2 linked regions of the Oryzias latipes genome follow. The protein of the gene in region 1 interacts with the protein of each later gene in a biochemical or structural test. Links are inferred from orthologs where the notes say so. Each region holds a gene or a part of one and is shown in the gene's direction. Other genes may lie near its edges.

Region 1 (4,277 bases):
GACAGTTTTTTGTGGAATGATGCTGAATGGAGAAGAGAAAGACCTTTATCAGTAAGGGCGGCCATCTGTTGTGATGGATTGTGGGATATAAAAGAGAGAGGGTTAGACTAGGGTTCTGCAACCTGAAGCTCCAGAGCCACACACGACCCCATTTTTCCCTCTTTGGCTTTGAAGAAAAATGCCAACAATCTGAACAAATGGGTTTGTAGTTTAAATTAATGTGTTTTAGTTAATTAAGTTTCATTGATATTTTTTATTAGAACGAGCTTAAATACCATCTTCTGCTGCATAACAGTTGCTGTTCAAAGGCAAAGTTCTTAAAGTATATACTGTAGTTGCATCTATTGGATTTTACACCAGTGTTCTGTTAATCTTCAGAAGTAAAAGGAGAAAAAGGATGAAGGTGCACTAGTCATGGCAAGAAAAACGTAATGTTTGGCTTTCTGGAATTTCTAATTTAAGTAAATCTGCTGCAGTAGGAGAATCTGATTTGACACAGGATGTATTTTATTCTGAAAGGAACTTTTATGTGCTGCTGTCAAAAGTAAATGAAATTGTTAAGTGTAGAAAAATATAACAGTCATAATTTAACAATTATTATAAATATTTAAAAGCTTTTTTTTTGTTTTAAATAACTGAAAAAAATAAATGAACACAAAAAATAGATAAAAGGTATTTTTTCTAAACGGAGAGGTGGGACTTTGTAGTTATCGCTGGGTTTTGGTCAGTAAGAAACTGGATCAAATGGCTTTAAAGGTTTCTGACCTCTGAGTTGGACTAACACAAAAACATCAAAGCATCAGCTAGAAGACATACAGTACATACAGTTATAAATGCAACAATGGGAGACGAGGAAGAAGACTATCGGGTGATTTCAGTATCATAATTGTACCTCAAAATTATATTTGTGAAACAAAGAATGTGCACATGTGAATGTACAGTGTATTACGTGTTTGCATACATATATATTTGTGAATCAGAATGTGTACATTTGTAAAACAGTTGTGTGCATTTCCAAACTATGATACTGAACTGCCCTGAGAAAAAGAAACTCAAAACTAAAAAAAAAAGTTCAGATTTTGGAGATGAACTTTTTAGGCCAGTAGGACCAATGGGGGAACCTTAAAATGTGATGTGATTGTTTGTTCAACATTTGAAATATAACACAAATTCATAAAAAATATAATATAAAGCATCAATATTAACTATTCAAAACTCAAACACTCGATTAGGTAAGATAAGAAATAAACGTTCTTGATCCCAATCTGTATGCAGCAACAACCAATAGGAATTTACGAAATTTACAAGAAATGTTGACTTAAATGTATACAGATGTACATTTAGTGTGGTATTTTGCTGTCCTGTTGCATGAAAACTGTTCAGATCCAGACTGAACTTGCCTGGCAGATGTCCTGACGTTGCCGTGGAATCACGTGCGCACATCTGGAGGAGGACCCTGCGCAGAAAAAAAATCTTTCACCAATATCCTCCCTTCACGGAGCAACCCTAAAGGAACTGAGGCTCTACTGCGTAGACTTTTCTGACTTTATTGAACATTTCGTGCGCTCGGTTCAGAGACACAGCCCCCTAAGTCCCGGGTATTTTGCGCTGGATTTGTTGTGTGCGCTCAGATGTGGAGTTAGTCAGTTCTGCTCGGTTTCCTCCTCGTCTCTGGTGCCTGTGAGGACAGTTTCGTCTTCTCGTCGGGGAGACAGACGGTTGGTGAAGTTGGGCAGAAATGCGGCTGCAGCTGCTCGGCCTGACCTGCGCGCTCTGCTGCTGGAGCTTAATCTCAGCAAATGTGCTGGAAGCAGAGGTAAGGCTGATCCATGTTTGTTTTTTATTAATTAATCATGCATTTTTTAAACTAGGGCATATTAATTATGAGCTTGAAGTTTGTAAATTTGATAGTTTTTTTTTTTTAATATCCTCTTTTTCCCTTTTCCTCCTCATATTTTTGTAAATAAATCCTCAAGTGTCCACGTTTGTTTTTGTCTGCACGGCTCAGCTGAGCTGCTTTGTTCTAAAGGGGGAGCAGTGGTGGTACTAAGGGGGAGGGGGCTAATGGGTTTCATCTGTTTGGTTTGAGGAGACACCATTTCTGGAAGCTTTTTTGCTTTCACAAACTTCAGGAGCTTCAACTCAGGGTCTGAGGGGCTGCAGTTTTTGCTCCATGGAAACACTAACATTTAAGCCTTTACTTTGGTAAACAAGGCTTGCGCAACATGTCTGTGCTCCTAAGGAGTCAAAGAAGAACTGAAGGTATTTTTGTGCAAGATCCCTGTCACATCTTAATCAGCAAAGCTGTGAGGAAACACAGATCGGAGATGCTTATCTGAAATGACCCAGATCGCACCATAGATTTTACAGGAAATTGGATTTATATACCAATTAACGATTAATCAACTTCTTTGATTATATTCCTTCAATTCAAGTTGTTAATAATGTCAATCTATAACAATATAAAATTGTTTCAAACATGAAATATTTCGACTATATCAATATTGGAAAATACCATTTGGATTGAGGATCGATAGGTTTATTTTAATATGATGTAAACGTGACCAAGTGGATCAAAACGGACAAACACACTTGTGATGGCAGGAAAAAAATGATCAGGCCATCATTATTGTCCAATGTGTGGAAATTTGACATGTGACCATACAGTGTGAAAGAATGTTGTAATAATGTTCTGTTTGTGTTATTTTGATGTGGAAAAACAATGAAATTTATGAAACTTAAATGTAAACATATTTGCCATCAATTCCTGTTTTCTTGTTTGTTTGTACACATATTTGATTTACACTTGATTATTTTGCATAAAAAACAAAGGAATCTGGAAAACTTCACTTGCGCTGTTCAGTGCCCAGGTATTCATCTCTGAGTCTCACTGGTTGAATTTTTGGTCAAAGATGTGCTGAATAGATTTTAGGTCAGTGAATCGGATCGAATTAGATCGTTTAAAATGAAGCGACCATAAATCGGATTGTCAACCACAAATAAGTTTATGAATCGAATCATTGCAATAAGGAATTGTTACTTCCCTGCACACCAAATAGTCATATTTCCTGCAGAAAAGTAGCATTGGAGGACATTTGCAGGAGACTGTGTTGCATTGTGGGTGGGCACTGGATGAGCAATGTAGCCAAAGCAGACCTTAGTCACTGACCACAAGGCGAGACAAAGGCAAGTCAGACAGTTTACAAGAAGCTGGAGCCGGCTCCCCCACCATGGAGAACTGAGCTCACACATGTTATGGTTTAAACAGAAACAAGATTGCAGAAAATTTGACTGCTTCAAATTGAGATCACATCTTGGAATCAAGGTGGAGATGAAATAGACTGCATTTTTCCCACTCATATCAGGAATCAAGTGAAAATGTTGTGTCTTGGTGAAGTTTGCCTCCACAAAAGTCTCCAGTGACCTGAAGTCAGTCTGAATGCAGAAAGAGGCTCAACTTTAATTATAGGTTCAGGATTACATCAGCATAAGAAACCTGTGATCAAAAGATAGACACGTCTGTCTCAGAAAAAAAAAGACTAAACTGGAACTTGGCAGATAGAGAACAAAATATTGAAACAAAATAACAATGGTGTTCAACAGAAGTGAAACTCCTTATGACAGGTTTTTTTTTTAGAAACTTCAAATAAAGCACATTTCAAAGTTTCAGAGGAACTTTGTGGTGTCATAGTGTTGCCCAATTCAAGAACATCCTTCTCTGACTTCATCCTGACACACTAAACCCATTTAATGCATGTTGAGTGAAAAAAGAAGCCCCACCAAGAGAGACGTAAAACTTCCTCACTTCTCAGAAAATGAAATGGTCTCTTCTGAAGTTGGCCTCAGGACATTATTTTCATTCACATTTTTTCCCCCTCTCAAACCTTGCTAAAGTTTAATAAAATGCTTAGCTAGACACTACGACCAAAGGAAGCGGGCAGCAATAAAAACAGCAAGTTCCCAACACATTACAAAAATGGGAAATTTAGCATCTGAAGACACATGTTTCATGGTCCAAACACATCTGGGTTTCATTTCGTTTCTCGTTTTTGGAGGGGTTTATACTTTCAGAAAAAACTCTTGTCATGGTCAAATAAAACAGAGATTTGACTGGCAGCTTTTGACACCTAAACAGGCTCAGATAATTAGAAACTGATGAACATGTGTTCATAAGTAAACCGGTCCAGCTTGCATCATCTGATTTTGATCATCTGGTTTTTGATTAGCATGATCAGATTGTTGGAATCGACTGAGGTCAGGTTCTAGGCTTAACGTTT
Region 2 (4,100 bases), on another chromosome or scaffold:
GCTGAGCCTGATTTATGAACTAAGAAGAAATTAGATAAATAAATGAAATTGAACACGGCTGAACAAAAACCTTGTATCTTTAGCCTAATTAAAGGTTAAACACACAAAGATCCAGCAAAGATGGAAGGAAAACCAAACCTTTATATATAGACTGAGAGGTAATGACCAAACAGAAAACAGGTTTGATGATTGAAAAATGAAAACAGGTGTGATACTAAGCGAGGCCTACAAATAAAAAAGAAAAAAAACTGACTAAACAAACATGAAAACTGAAATAAATCAAAATAAAAAACACAACGTATCACAAAAACCTTTAACCAAGAACTAAAAGGAATGTTTTTGAGCAAGTTTCCGAAACAAATCTAAGTTTTCCGTCTTTTTAAATTCACATTTAAATACCCAAAACCCAACTAAACTTTATAAAGCTTTATAATGTCCTAAAACTACAAAGAAGACATGCAAACTATTATGTTTTAAATAAAAGTTTAGGCACAACATATCCCAATCTCTTAATCTACCGTTACACTCTGCAGATAGATTTTTTTTTATCTAAAGGGATTTTTGAATTGATCACTGGATATGTAAGTGGACTACCAGACCACACTGTGACCAATTCAATCCACATGCATGTTATGATCTGACGATAATTGTTCAAAAGATTAAAGAGCACCTCAGACTTTTGTTCTATTTTATTGTTAGAACAACACATCTTTGTACCATACGCGCAATGAGTCTGAGCTTTAAACTATGTTAAAAGATAGAAAAATCCACTGGCATATGGAATCATTTGGTTCTGCCTCACATTGTCTTTTTTCTTTCGTCCTGGTAAAAACAAAAACAAAAAGAGAAGATGAAATGTTTGCATCAAGTGTTGCATAAGTCTGCTTTTGCAGTTTTTGTGTGCTGTTGTCAGATTTTCCAAAGCTTGTGAGGCACGGCTCAATTCATTTTCTCCTCAAAACTGCCGTCTGGTATAATGGCTGCCAAAGGTTGTTGCATATTTATTTCCACACATCTGTTTTTTTTTACCAGAACATTCCTACAGCTACTCAAGCTCAGGTTCTGCACGCATATTCTGGGACATTTGTTCATAAGAAAAATTTGGATTTTTGTGCACAGATATATTGCTAAGAAGTGTTGGTAAAGATGTGCTGAAATATTCCAAATTCTTTGCAGCACCTGTTCTTTGTTAGTTACCACCAGGCTTTTGGACAAAGGTTTCGGGATGACGTCCTGACTCCTGTTTGCTAAGCCTCCCATCTTTCCGCTCCTCTTCCCTCCCCTTTTCTCTTCAGTCTCTCCATCAACCCGTCTCTCCTCCCCCTCTTTTCTCTTTTTTGTTTTTCTCCAGAGATTTGCAGTTTTTCCACACCACATTGCTCTTACCTCCTGGCCTTCCACCCCAAAAACACAAAGAAAGAGAAGCACAGGTATGGCTTTGAGATTTCCTGTTTGAATTTATGTCTGTTTTTTCCTGATGGAATTGCTGTTTTAGGCTGATACTGCAAATACATGTTATTAATTAAGCAAAAGTAAGGACAGGTTTAAATACTGGTATTTACGTTTCACCTGCTTAGGTTAGGTTGGATTTTGTGTCTGTATTTTTCTCAAGAATCAATCGGTCGGTACTATTAAAAGTCAATTTTGTTGCACTTCCAATGGCTCAGAGTGTTGGACCTTTTTCTAAATTTGTTTCATTTACCTTTTGCACCAAACTGGATCACTATTTTTATTAAGATTGTGTTTTTTGGTTCTGCTGTAATCTTTAATGTGGCTTGACACTAAAGCGAACATCTGGATTTGTTGGTCCAAGCGTGGTTGACATAAATTCTTGACTGATTTTGGAACTATATGTGTGTCCCTTGGGTGCCAGGAGCCATTGGGGTTACATTTTGTTGATATTTTTTTATGTGATTGTTAAGAATTTCAAATCCAACGTGTTGTTTGCCTATCCATAATTGAACAGCAGATTGATTTTATTTATGTAGATTTATTTTGCTCTTGAAAATCCACTCTGATGAAAATTGTGTTTTTTGTTTTTGTCCTTGGGGCATTTTCTCATGATGGAGGACATGCATGTAAAAATAAAATTAAGCTCAAAAATGCATTTCAGAGTATGTCTTTATTCAAATCGTTGTGAATTAGAGCAAAAGAAAAAAATGCAGTTTGTAAAAGAGCATATTTGTGATGTACAAAATATGCTGGGTGAGCTCCTTGCTCCGCCTCATTCTGATTCATCCACTTGTAGATGAGAAAATCCATTACGTCTTTGTGTTCCTAATCCGAGATGGTATGTGGCTTCAAACTGTACATATAGCTTGAATATTGCTCGCCATTTTTGTTGCACCAGTAATGTTGGGCTATGAGAGCATGTAAACAAAGCTCTTAGGGTGCTCTGGGTGACAGGAAGGAGGGTGGGGTTGCTCCATGCCAATGGTCCTGTCCCAAACTCAGAAGCTAATGAACTCGTGCCCTTCTGTAGAAACTATGTCCTAAAAAATAAAAAAAATTTTTTTTGCTAAAAACATATTTTTCAAATCTCCTTTCCTCTTTTGTCTCCCCAGCAGAAGTCATGCTTCCTCTCAGTCTACCCCTCTTGGCTTTACTGGTCAGCTTTGCCCAATGCCAAGAGTACGACTATGACTACCAGCCTCATTCCATGTCAATGCCATCAGGGCCAAACTGTAATCAAGAGTGTACCTGCCCAGTCACTTTCCCCACCGCCATGTACTGCGATAACCGCAAGCTTAGGTTTGTTCCGGTGGTCCCAAAAGGAATCAAGTATCTGTACCTCCAGAACAATATGATTGAAGAGATCAAAGCTGGAGTTTTTGATAATGTTACTGATGAACTGCGCTGGCTGATACTTGACAACAACCAGATCACAAATCCGAAGATTGAGAAGGGTACAATTGATAAGCTCACAGCCCTGGAGAAGCTGTTCTTCAGCTTTAACAACCTCACAGAGCCGGTCATCCCTCCCTCAAAGTCCCTTGATGAGCTGAAAATTATGAACAACAAGTTGTCCAAGTTTCCTGCTGGGCTCTTGAATGACAAGGTGAACTTGACCTTCATCTACCTTCAGCATAATGAGTTAACCTCTGATGCTATAGGAGGAGCTTTCAAGGGGTTAAAGGGGCTGTTGTCCCTGGATGTGAGTTACAACAAGCTAAAGAAACTGCCAACTGGACTCCCAAACTCACTAGAAATCCTCTACGCTGACCACAATGACATTGAAAGCATTGGATCAGGGTACCTGAACAAGTTACCCAATCTGAGATACCTGAGGATCTCTCACAACAAGATGGTGGACTCTGGAATCCCTGCTGGGGCTTTCAATGTGACGTCCCTGACTGAACTGGACCTCTCTTTCAACAAACTGCAGTCCATTCCTGAAATCAACGAGCAGCTGGAGCAACTCTACCTTCAGGCCAATGAGATCAACAGTAAGTTGAGATTTAGGGAAAGGTCATCATATTTGATTTAATGGTGTTCTTCGGAGATTTTATGACAAAGCACAAACGGTTTTTATAAAGATTTTAAAAAAAGCATCTTACCTTATGAGCATGCCACATATTCAAAAACAGAAATATTCATTGAGTTTAAATTGAAAGCTACGTTCATCCTGCCCTCGGCAACGCACGTTCAAGCGACCATTTCCAATCAAAAGTCTATGTAAACTCATGTGAATGCCCATTTCGGGGTTCCGCATTCAAACTCTCACATTCACACGTCGCTTCACAAGTTTCCACAATCGTTTCGACGTACAAAACACTTTGCCACTGAATGTGCGTTTAAAAGTTAAACCAGGTTGAACTTTGACCAATGGAGGACCGGGATTTGGTAGTGACATATGAATGGCACCCCTTTACTTTCACTTAAAAATTTAATTCAATTTGAAAACTGAACATGCAAGACAAATGAATAATAACGGTTTGTGCCCAACCAGAATTCAATGACACTAAGTCTTTTGCATATCAGCATAGAGATGTGAAAGATGAAGCCTGGAGCAAGATTTGCGTGATTTGCACAGCTTCCAAATGTCGCTCTTCCACTGTAGCTGGCAGTCATGCACTGGTACACATAAAAAAAAAGAAGAA

The links.
Region 2: the proteins of matrix metalloproteinase-14 (region 1) and lum interact in a biophysical measurement, tested with the Homo sapiens proteins (2 studies listed by BioGRID and IntAct, with this or other methods). The link is inferred for Oryzias latipes from reciprocal best matches to the Homo sapiens genes MMP14 and LUM.

The regions. Positions count from the first base shown.
Region 1 is NC_019876.2:17,839,221-17,843,497, forward strand, and holds the start of matrix metalloproteinase-14, read left to right. Parts: upstream 1-1,477; 5' UTR 1,478-1,738; coding exon 1,739-1,816; intron 1,817-4,277.
Region 2 is NC_019881.2:17,040,184-17,044,283, forward strand, and holds the start of lum (lumican), read left to right. Parts: upstream 1-1,300; 5' UTR 1,301-1,430; intron 1,431-2,564; exon of another isoform or gene 2,565-2,567; 5' UTR 2,568-2,572; coding exon 2,573-3,446; intron 3,447-4,100.